Schizosaccharomyces pombe: one gene and its partners. The protein of the gene in region 1 purifies or fractionates together with the protein of each later gene. This does not show direct contact. Each region holds a gene or a part of one and is shown in the gene's direction. Other genes may lie near its edges.

Region 1 (3,759 bases):
TACAAAGTGGATTTAGCGAGAATGACCGTCTTTTGTAAAGTAGCTGTTGACTTGTAAAGGTTAAAAAAAAAAAGGGTAAATAATATATAATGGATGATGGGCTGTAATGGGAAAATGGGAATGATGGGTTTGCTGAAAAGAATACGATTCTAAGTTCAGTAGTGTTACTGTAGGTTGAGATGTTGATTTTGGAAGAGTTGTTCATTATTTTGTAGGTTTTGTTACATATTCGTTTCTATGTTTACCTTTTTGTTCGTTGATATCAGTTATTGCAATTTTTTTAGCTTTTCATCTTTATCTTCATCAAACTTTCTTTTTGCTTATTTTCTTTTATGTTTATGCTAGTTATGAATCACACAATACTCTTTCTTTTTTATCCCTTTACCTATTATCTCCATCGGCCGCGTTGAAAGCGACACATTTCAAGTAATGATTGCTTTTTTTCTTGTTTCAATTTGAATCGCAAACTTACCACAGAGTGCTATTGCTCGCATCTCACTTCCATAACGTCTTCTACACGCTTATAGTCTTTCTGTCTTTGTTATACCTCAGCTCATTCCTTTTCCTTCATATGGTATCTTTAATTCTAATACTTTATTGCATAATATAACAAATTTATCTGCTATACTATTATAATATCCACATATGCCACAATAATCGCCTTCTTGATGTATACGAGACTTTGTATTCCATAAAGCGAAGAAAAAAAAAAAGAACGCTCTACTTTAAGTGGATCTCTGGGTCATTTCCATCTCCTCATGATTCATTATATCCTCAATGTTGCTGTGCGACAACCCTATCTGAACAAATAAGCTACACTTCATACAATCGTTAATCAATTTTATTCATTGCATTCCTAATGTAATTAAAAAAAAAAAATGAAGAAATGGGGCGATCCAATCATCTTTTCATTTTCATTCATTGGAAAAGTCGGTCTATTTTTTCTGGTAATAATAAAGTCTACCGTTTTTCTAATTTGTATGTGCGAACCAATTCATGGCAAAAAGTGCGCCATCTTGAATCACTCCATACGAATGCGTATATTGTGCCTTTGGAAATGCGCCTTATAATAATGAAAACAAGACAAACTTTCAAGGTGCATGGTATGAGAAAAAGGAAATATTATTGGAAAAACGACTACATGCGTGGAAAAAATAGAAATGGCAATTTGCCCACAAAAAAACATCAATCAAAAAAAATGTAAATAAGATAAACGATAATTTTCATTCAAATCTAATATGAAATAAATTTAATTATCAATACTTCAAGTAATTCATACAATATATATATATATTTTTTTTAATATTCTTTTTTTTTAAAATGAAATTTCCATGTTATACTAATTACAAATTCCAACTGTCCACGTTACGTTGGTTTATTTGTTTTAATTTTTACATTTATTTTATTTCTTATTTTTTTAAATTTTTTACTCAAGTATACATATACGCTGGTTCAACGTTCTAACTTTTACATAGATGCAGACTTTTTTTTTCTTTGGGTCAGTATCTTTAGTTATTCTGTTGCTACATATTTTGATAGTCAATGAATAGATGAATCAGGCTTTAAAATTAAATTTTTTCGTTTTCCTATAATTAATTCATTTCTCTACCACTACTCATCAGATTCGCTGATTGATTTGCATCTATCTTGTAAACAACAATTTTTCGGTAAAAGAATAGAAATTTGAATCCTTCTCTCATGTTTCCCTTAAATGTTTATTTTTTCAAGTTTCACATTAGCTTCTATGCACGAGTATAATTTCCCAATGAAAATGGAATGGTAAACAGTATCACAAAGTACACCACTGTCCTACAACCTCGTCCAACTTTCTTTATATCTTTATTGAACATAAAAGTTTGAAAGGTTGTATTGAATAATCAAATAAAGGGGTTTTATTTCCTCAATTTGAGTAGCACGAGTCACTTTTATATTCGCTGTCCACAGTTGGTCGATTTTATTACCAACACTAAAGGAGTTCATGACTATACTACCGCTTTCTGGTCGTTTGCCTTTTTTCCGTGCTTAAGTCAAATAATATTATATACTTAATAATTGTTTACATATTTTGATGTCAATCCGATTTACTCATTGTTTTACTTCTTCCTCATCATTGCCCTGCTACATACTTCGACATTTGCCTTTTTCAAATTTCAACCGCTATTCTACCGCTTCCCATGATAACGTTAATGCTTTTCGCCTTTTAATGCGTAGGTTCGCACAACCAGTTGTCATCATCACGAGTGGTTTTGCTGATGGTCATCGTGCTGGCATGACGGCCTCATCCTTTACGCCAGTTTCTCTGACGCCAAATCCAGTAATTTCATTCAATATAAAAATTCCCTCTCGTACAGCAAACGCCATCCAACAATCCAATCGAGTAATCGTTCATCTTCTGTCTAGTTCAATAAAGAAGCATTCCGAATGGGCTTCCTTACTTGCCAAACAAAAACATCAAATCAATCCTTTAATGAATTCAGAGAAAAACTCTACTTCTGTAGAGGATCTTCCAGGAAGCAATCGTACACAGCAAACATCTTCACATTCTCTTCTGCATCCCCTTCATCCAATCGATGTCAGTCTCAGTAAAGAAGGTCTTCCATGTCTTGTTGATAGCTTAGGGCTCTTGCACTGTTCAATAATTCATTCTTATCAAGTACAAGATCACATTCTTTTCGTTGCGAACGTTGAGCGTGTTGAACATGGCTCTAGCCCTTTAGAATCCAGCTCAGGCTTAGTTTATTATAATCGGAACTACTGCAGCACATCCCCGTTAAGCCCTATTATTGATTCTTTCGAAAGTTAATTCTTTTTTTGAGTTTGCTACTTATGCAAGTAATCATGCCTACTTTAAAAAATGATTCAGCCAGGAATGTTGGGTCCGTGTTCTCCATGCTATTTAATATTCTTTCTTTTATATTTTCATTAATTTATGTGTACTATGTATTTCTTTCTAGGGTATATAGCTAGAAAGACTTACGTAAAGAAAGGTTGTACGACTTTATTCAATTGTTTTTATTTTTTGATACAGTTTTTGTAAAATAGGCCAGTCAAAACGTACGCAACTAAAAATCAATATTTTAAATTCTAGAAGCATTTCTATCGTTGGATTTTTGGGCGAACTTAATACCTTTAAAAGCTGTACATTTTCTATTCAAACTTAAACTAAGCAATGGATTTGAGGAAATTTTGAGAAAAATCTACTAATTGGATATAGCAATCTCCAAAACCATCGCTTCCTCCATAATAAGGGTCATCAACGATTTTTGAAACTCCTGGACTAGCATATTCTCCAAAAAGCATGACTTTAGCACGGCTACCTTGAGGTTTAACACGATTAATGTTTCGCAAATTTGACGAATCCATTGCAAAAATGTAGTCAAAGTTTTTAAAATCAGACGTTGAAAGTTTCCTTGCCAAATGTTTGGTATGAATGCCATTCTTTTTAAGTACTTCGAGAGTTCGTGGATCAGGTCGATTTCCTACATGCCATGCACCAGTGCCACAGCTATCAATGGTGTCAAAACGTGCCTCGAGTCCAGCCTTTTCTACTTCATTTCGAAAAACTGCCTCAGCCATTGGACTTCTGCAAATGTTTCCCAAGCATACAAAAAGTACTTGAATATTCTTGGTCATAGTTTATAGTATATTCTTGGGATTTTTGATGAGTCAAAATTTCCTCTTCTATTTGTAATGTATAGATATTATAGAAGGTGTAAGTTTAAATGAAAGACAAGCGAATTTTTACCACAGTTAATTGGT
Region 2 (3,759 bases), on another chromosome or scaffold:
ATGTGTTCTCTCTTTATTTTTCCTCTGTTTTAAGCATGCAGTAGTGTCCCGGTTTTAGGAAATGAACGAACGATAAAGGAAGGGATGACAATTCGTCGTTCTACAGAAGGATGGAATGGATTAATGGCAAAAGTGAGGATTCCTGGGAAAATAAGTATATATATATAAGGTGGACAGAGAAAGAAGGTAAAGGATAATGAAGGTGGTGAAGGAAGCAATGTCTTACTGCGTCCCTGGCAAGTAAAGAGGCTTATAAACAATAGAGAACTATGTACTAAGGTGGTTTAAGATACCAATTCCTTAATTTTGGACTTGGATTACTATAAGAATACGTTTCTGCTGAGAAATATGATGCTGCAGTCGGTAACTTTTTGGTTTGTGTCGCAATGTTTATATATGTTGATCGGGTGAGATGAATTTTGACGTCACTGCAAAACAAACAAACGAAGGGCTAGGGTAGCCAATCGGGAAATGATTTGTTTACTTTATGAGATGAACTTGCCGTATAGAAATAAAAAGTTTTTCTTTATAAAAATTTATTTTTTTTTTGTTTGAAGGGATTTGTTGCAATTAACAAAGGCACTATGCTAAAAAAGTCAAGCAGTATTATCCTTTAAGGCCTCCATTTTAAGGAGCTAACCGAAGGGGACTACATTCACGTGTCGCTCCACTGTGTAATATTTACATCACAGTCGTACCGTTAATTGGCCACCATATTCGGAAAGGAAAATCTAGAGTTCTATTTGATGCAGATTATGTCAAATATAATCAGGATTTACTTTTATTTAAACCAATCAAAAAATAGCCGATTACTTGTGGAGAGATAATAACGCTATCCCTCGGTATTCGTAGTCGTCAATAGTAAAGTTGTGAATGCGAAAATATAATATCGCCTCTCTTGCTAGCTTTTTTCATATTTATTTCCTTTAATGGTTTTGATGAAACTACCTAGGCTTCAAATTTTGTCGTTCTCTTACGCGCGCCACCATAAACGGCTTTATCGTTACTGATAATAATAGCTCATATCATTACTATTAGTAGCCTTTCCGCTATCAATCCTTTCTCAAAATTTAGCCGCAACTTGTTTCTAATACTTCTTCATCTTTCTTGCCCACATTTACTTATATTGTCGCAAGCAAGAGTAACATGTTATTGATTTAAATCTGGTTTGCCAGAATTCTCATTTTTAGTATGTATACTATCATATCTTTTAACTATACACGAGATGAAGTTTAACTTTTGGTCACATTAAATCAAAATAGACAGAACGGATCGTACATACGACCATGAGTTAGCCACTGGATTGAATCAGTTCTGCAAATCGAAAGATGTTGAACTTCGCAGTTGACAATATGAGAATACTTTAGCAACATCTGGAATATTTAATTAAGCTCTACGTCAATTTGGTAGAAATGTGACTATCTAAGATATAGTTGGCAATTTCCCGAATTCATAGGATATCACCTTTAAACCTTTTGACTTAATTTAATGATATTATTTTTCTTTATTTTAATTTACTGAGATGTAAATGCCGTGATTGTTGCATGTGTATACCTCAGATAATAATTGGACGTAGACACTATTGATTAACCCACGTAGCTATTTCACTTCTTTTGAATATTTTTCTCTTATTCATTCCTTCCGATTGCTGAATTTTCAATGCAGCCGTCAAATTAGGAACATATTACTTCATACGGACTCTGACTCATGATTCACTATGTGTCGTCGAGTCAATATATTTTCATTATAGTCATTGAAACTTACTGACTTTTGCAAATGACCGTTTCATATAACTTGTAGCTTTTGGTTAAACATGAACGCTATTGCTACAGTCTAGTTCCCATTAGAAGCAGCTTACGGGAGTAGAATTGTTGCTTAAACCTACCACTAAAACTTTGGTCATAACCTTGAAGGGACTCGGTATGATTGACCTTTTCCAATTAACATGTTTAACATCCACAGTTTCCATTTCTAATTTTATTTTGTATAACCGTAAATATCGAAAAAGCTGTGCATTAGCATTCCTTACACTGCGCTATACCCTCTTGTGTTATTCTATTCCTATACACATCCATACCGTTAATTACTTAGCTTTTACCATTGCAAGGATGAAACGCGTATGGCCTAGAATTCCTACGATTTCGAATGTCTGTAGGGCTCGCAGTATTTACAGTGCTGCTCAGGAAAATGCATATCGCTCTTCTGTAAAGTTAATACAGGAATACTCGGAGAAAGTTCACAAAAAGCTTCAGGCTAAATTATTAGAAAACCCAAGTGAAACTTCCCCAGAAATAGAACGGTTACAGGTTTTATCACAAATTAATTTACCGGAAGTACGCTCTAAATTTCATAAAAAGGAGATCGACTACACGAATCCGGTGTTCCTTTACATGCTTAAGCAACAGTGGGAAGATTATCAAAAATTGCTTCTTTTACAAAGATTGGAGCAGATGAAAGTAATAAAGGACTCTGGGATTGGCTCATTTTCGCCATCTGTCGACGTACAGTTAGGATTTAACCCCGAAAATAATGATTCTATCACTCCTGGCACTATCTTGCCAAGTACGGTTACTGTAAAGACCCCGTGGCTATCAGTTTTACCCTTTAATTGTAAAAAGAATCATTATTCAGTTATAACACTAGATTTGGATGTCCCGAATTACGAAACAAACCGGTTTGAGACTCATTGCAACTGGCTTTTAACGAATATCCCCATTGAAGCATCCAAACGTGTGCCCATTGATACTTCTAAAGCTTTCTTTCAATATCGGCCTCCTATTGTTCACCGTGGAGAAGATAAACACCGTATCTTAACCCTTGTTTTGCGGCAAAAGTCATCTAGTATTAGTATTCCTTCTAATGCACTTGTCCGCGAACGATTTGACCTCTCTGAGTTTTGCTCAATCTATGATCTTGAACCTGTTGGCGCTCATCTTTGGAGAAGTGGCTGGGATTCGGACGCAGTTGCATTATTATCCAAGCACCCGTCTGTACACGAATATCGAGATATCCGTGTAGAACGTATCCCTGCATGAAACTACTAAAAGAGCCCCTAAAATATTGTTTTTATAAGTCATTTTTTCATTCCATGTTTCAAAACATTAGCATGCATTGCTTCCCTCCTCTCGTGTCAAAATAGTTTATCTTTTACATGATTTCCCTTCTTAGGTTTTTTTAAGACGATAGCCTTGTTCCATAGTCCTATTTTACTTTCCTCTTATTAAATCAATTGCAAATCTGTGAATAAAATGCCTATCCTATGCCTTAAACTAAAGTCAGTTGTAACTTTAGAACTGGTGTTTCCTCTTTACAGTATGTTTGCTCAATCTAGATGAAGTGTGAGCTGTATTGTAATATATTTCATTATAGCTTTCGCGAAAATAAAAAGATAGTGTCTGTAATAGTGATATTTGATAGCAAAACATAGAAAAAAGTGCATAGATGATCGTTTCCTAAAACAAGGTTATAAGAGCAGTCTTCTATCATTTCAAACTATATTTCTTGATTACCTAATTGATGTAGTAAATTATACTATGATCTCAAAATAACTTCTCTAAAAGAAGTGATGAAGCTCTCAAGAGTAAAACGACTGAGCAAAATTTTAATACGCTTTATATAACCAGCGTCATTAATAAGCGATAATTATTACATATCCGTAATGCTACTAGATACGAAAGCTGCTTCTTTGTATGAACGGAAATATTAAAAGAGCCAGTCATCTATCACGTCCTCAACAAAAAAGTCCGAAAGCTTAAAGGG
Region 3 (3,759 bases), on another chromosome or scaffold:
TTACAAGCAACCGTTCTTCTAACTAAAAATACCCGTTGTAAACAAATATACAAATCTTATGGACGTGGGGAATATAGATGTATATATTTGACTACAGTTATATTCTTGAATTACTTCATTTGATAGTTGTTGAGTTTAAATCATTGAAGGATAATTCTTCTTTTGAAGGTTTGCTTAAATAATTTGGAAGAAATAAGTATTTAAGAATTCCGTTTTATAAGAATTTTTTCACAACTTTAGATTGTTATCGATGTGCCTTACTATCTTAGTTTTTGAATGAAAAATTAATGACGGCTCGAATATAAAGGGGACGGTCTTCGCTCTTTATTCAGCAAAGAACGTATGGAATAGAAAGAATTTGTACTAAATGTGTCACCATAAGTGCGAAGCTTTAGGGTTTTTACATTATAAGACAAGTTAGATTTTTGTTTTAAAGGTGGCATTTAGAATATAGACAGATGAAGTTAAAGGGCGCAGCTCGTTTTCCTTGGCACTTTTTTACACTCATCTCAGTACTTGTATTATCTTCTCAAAGCAGCTTGGTAGTACAATTTTCTTGGATATTATCCCTATCTGATAAAATAAAGTTTCGCTAATAATTAAGCGAAGACTTACAACTTTGACGAAGCAGCACACAGAACTAAACCAGTAGATCATAGTGACTATAAAAGCAAATCTACTTAAAGAGGCTGAGAAATTGCCATCGTGAGTTTATTTATTTTCAGCTATATTCTTCAATGTAAATTTAAGTATTTATTGAGAAAAATTTAAGAAAGTTAAGTTGTTCGTTATAACGTACAGCAGCTACGAAAGGATATTTATACTACTGTCTCGCAAATAAACATTCTAGCAACTCATTAACATCATAACTTGTGTTGGAATAGTAGACAACTATGATGAATAAAATAAAATAAAAAGGGCAAGTTAGAAATCAGAAATTTATGCTTAATGTTTCATTTGGATTTTCGTTATTTCCAATGTATTCTGAATATACTCATACTTAAACACATATTGTTATATGTTATATTTGTTACATCAGGGGGATCGATATATCATATACTCCACAGTATAGCTAATTTATTTGTAACCCTTTTTGAAGAAATATTTATTTGGTATTGAGAATTAAATTAAATTTAAAGATTTACTATATCATAGCCTATTTACTCAATCTGTTCAAATGTTGCTTTCGCAAACATATTTTTATCAGTCACAATATAATGAAATACACATTTGATTTAAAACAATTTCAAAAAAAAAAAAAGGATGTTGATTAGAATGAAAGAAAAAAAATAAGATTTATATATTTTCAAAACAAAAAAGGTGTAGATATCAATAATAAGAAGACTTAAAATTCTAATAGATCTCGTAACGATCAGTTATTTTAAATTTATAAAATTAAACCACAGTGTATTGTTTTAGAATATATGAATTTAATACTTTCGCTCAACGATTTCTTGATCGATCAACTAAATATGTAATAATATTAATTAAAAAAAAATAAAAAAAATTTGAGATTTTTTCTTTCCTCTTGCTATGAATCACGAAATTTTCTGTATGAACAGAATAGCAATCAACTGGCTTCTCAGACACTTCATAAAACTCGAAATTGTGTCTTCAGGGTTATCGGAATAAATATTATGATTCATAAGCTCTATTGTTAGCTTAAAATTGAATTTGTTATTAATCTAACATATTTGTAAATGGGTTTATGAAGTATTTGAATTTGAGATCTTATTATTACGAATTTAAAATCCAAAGATAATTAAGAAATTAATCAATGGCTTATAAAGTATAGAAAATTAAAGACTAAATTATCAAAGCATTTTTATTTTTAATTTTTTTTAGCGCTCTCATTTAAGACAAACTTTTACTAATACTCCAATTATGAATGATGGTTATTTTGCATACTTATTAAATGATGTACATATTTTTATAAATTAATAAGTCTAATAGAAGATAATTAATTACCTCTTTCCATCTCTTGGTCTTCCTTATTGAGCTAGCACATTACCTCATTCTCTTCAACTACGATTTACTAACTACTCAGGTTGAAAGGGTTTTTTGAACATTGTTCGTAAAAGGAAATTTTAAAAATATTTTGAGACAGCATTTTTGTGTTTCTCAATTATTAAGATTAATAATAAGCATCACGAAACTTTGAGGTGTTAGCTTACATTAACAATTCTGGGGTTCTAATCCTTATAATAATTTGGGCTGGCCTATATCAAATTGTCTAATTTGAAGATTTAAATTCTTTAAATAATTTTATTTTTACTTTCTCCCTCGTTTTAAGTATGAAAATTGTTGTTTTAGGTGGTTCAGGCTTTTTAGGGCATAATATTTGCAAATTAGCCATTGCTAAGGGTTACGAGGTGGTTTCAGTATCCCGAAGAGGAGCTGGAGGATTGCATAACAAAGAACCATGGATGGATGATGTTGAATGGGAGACGTTGGATGCTCAAAAAGATCCAAATTCATTACTTCCTGTTCTTCGTGATGCCTCGGCAGTGGTGAACAGTGTTGGTATCCTTATGGAAAATAACTATAAAAAGATTTTACAGAATCCCAGAGGACCAGTTTCGCATTTAATCAATAGTCTTAGCTCTAACATGTTTAAAACTGGCCAAAACCCTTTAGCACCTAAACCTGAAGAAGCAAAGCAATCTAAAAATAAAGTTACATTTGAAGCAATCAATCGAGATTTAGCTATTGAAACAGCTAAGATTGCCGCCAAAGCTAATGTCCCTGTGTATTGCTATGTGTCTGCTCATGCAGCGGCTCCCGGGTTGGATCCCCGCTACATAAAAACGAAACGTGAAGCTGAAAGGGAAATATCTAAAATTTCAAACCTTCGTTCTATATTTCTCCGTCCTGGTTTTATGTATAACTTTAATGATCGTCCTTTCACAGGCGCCCTTGCGTCTCTTTTTACTGTCTCATCCAGCATCAATCGAGCAACCTCTGGTGCTTTAAATTTCCTCGGAACCGCTTCGGCTGAACCCCTTCCTTCTGAGGAAGTTGCTTTGGCTGCTTTGGAGGCTATTTCTGATCCCAGTGTCAAGGGTCCTGTGGAAATTTCCGAATTAAAATCTATGGCTCATAAGTTTAAGCAAAAATCTCTATGATTCTCTTGTTAAAAGTAAATTACACATCATAAGTTTATGAAAATGAATGATTGGGTTATGTGTAATGAATTTTGACCAGTCTTAATTATATCTACCTGAATACGTCTTTATACTTTCAAGTTAAAATATGATTGCTAAACAAAGAGAAAAAGTATCGTCTAATTTAAATTCTCTGCTCAATATTTACATCATTTGAACTACTGTTATCTAAGTCGTAGAATCTTTTCCAACTATAATTGCCAAATTTGCTTCCTGACTGTATTTATTAACTAGAAAATTAAAACAAGTTATTTCAAAAAATTAGAAAGAAAGCTCTTTTCCCATGTTAACTCGAGCTATATTTGCTTCGATATATCAGCTGTTGTAGTAACCATACATTTTACCTTATTATACACCTCGCACTACCTATATCAAACGCACGCATTCGAAAGGTCCTCGGTGAATTAAAGAATTAAGAAGATAGAGAAGTTCATAATCCTTTTAATTTACTTATTCAAATTGGACTTACAGTCGTAAATTATTTATGGAGCTGGGTGCTTGGAGATCTATTCTCTATATTGCGTTCCTGTTCGCGATTACGCGCCATGCCTTTTGTAAAGCAGTTAACTTGGTGCATTCACCAGAAGGAGAAGAG

The links.
Region 2: the proteins of coq12 (region 1) and mrpl35 purify together in Schizosaccharomyces pombe (affinity purification with mass spectrometry, with the first as the bait; one study listed by BioGRID). This does not show direct contact.
Region 3: the proteins of coq12 (region 1) and coq11 purify together in Schizosaccharomyces pombe (affinity purification with mass spectrometry, with the first as the bait; one study listed by BioGRID). This does not show direct contact.

Annotation. Positions count from the first base shown.
Region 1 is NC_003424.3:3,880,459-3,884,217, forward strand, and holds the start of coq12 (NADH-dependent flavin oxidoreductase), read left to right. Parts: upstream 1-1,956; 5' UTR 1,957-2,068; coding exon 2,069-2,803; 3' UTR 2,804-3,162; coding exon of another isoform or gene 3,163-3,633; 3' UTR 3,634-3,759. Other genes in the region: SPOM_SPAC1071.13 (uncharacterized protein), read left to right, coding at 887-1,204; protein tyrosine phosphatase Stp1, read right to left, coding at 3,163-3,633. UniProt on the Schizosaccharomyces pombe protein: NADH-dependent flavin reductase that acts in the coenzyme Q biosynthetic pathway. Required for synthesis of the p-hydroxybenzoic acid (PHB) precursor to form a quinone backbone.
Region 2 is NC_003423.3:1,718,827-1,722,585, reverse strand, and holds mrpl35 (mitochondrial ribosomal protein subunit L35), read left to right. Parts: upstream 1-2,089; 5' UTR 2,090-2,108; coding exon 2,109-3,035; 3' UTR 3,036-3,361; downstream 3,362-3,759. Other genes in the region: transcriptional activator MBF subunit Rep2, read right to left, coding at 3,703-3,759.
Region 3 is NC_003421.2:2,273,734-2,277,492, reverse strand, and holds coq11 (ubiquinone biosynthesis protein Coq11), read left to right. Parts: upstream 1-2,023; 5' UTR 2,024-2,294; coding exon 2,295-3,125; 3' UTR 3,126-3,326; downstream 3,327-3,759. Other genes in the region: pdi5 (protein disulfide isomerase), read left to right, coding at 3,649-3,759. UniProt on the Schizosaccharomyces pombe protein: Acts in the coenzyme Q biosynthetic pathway.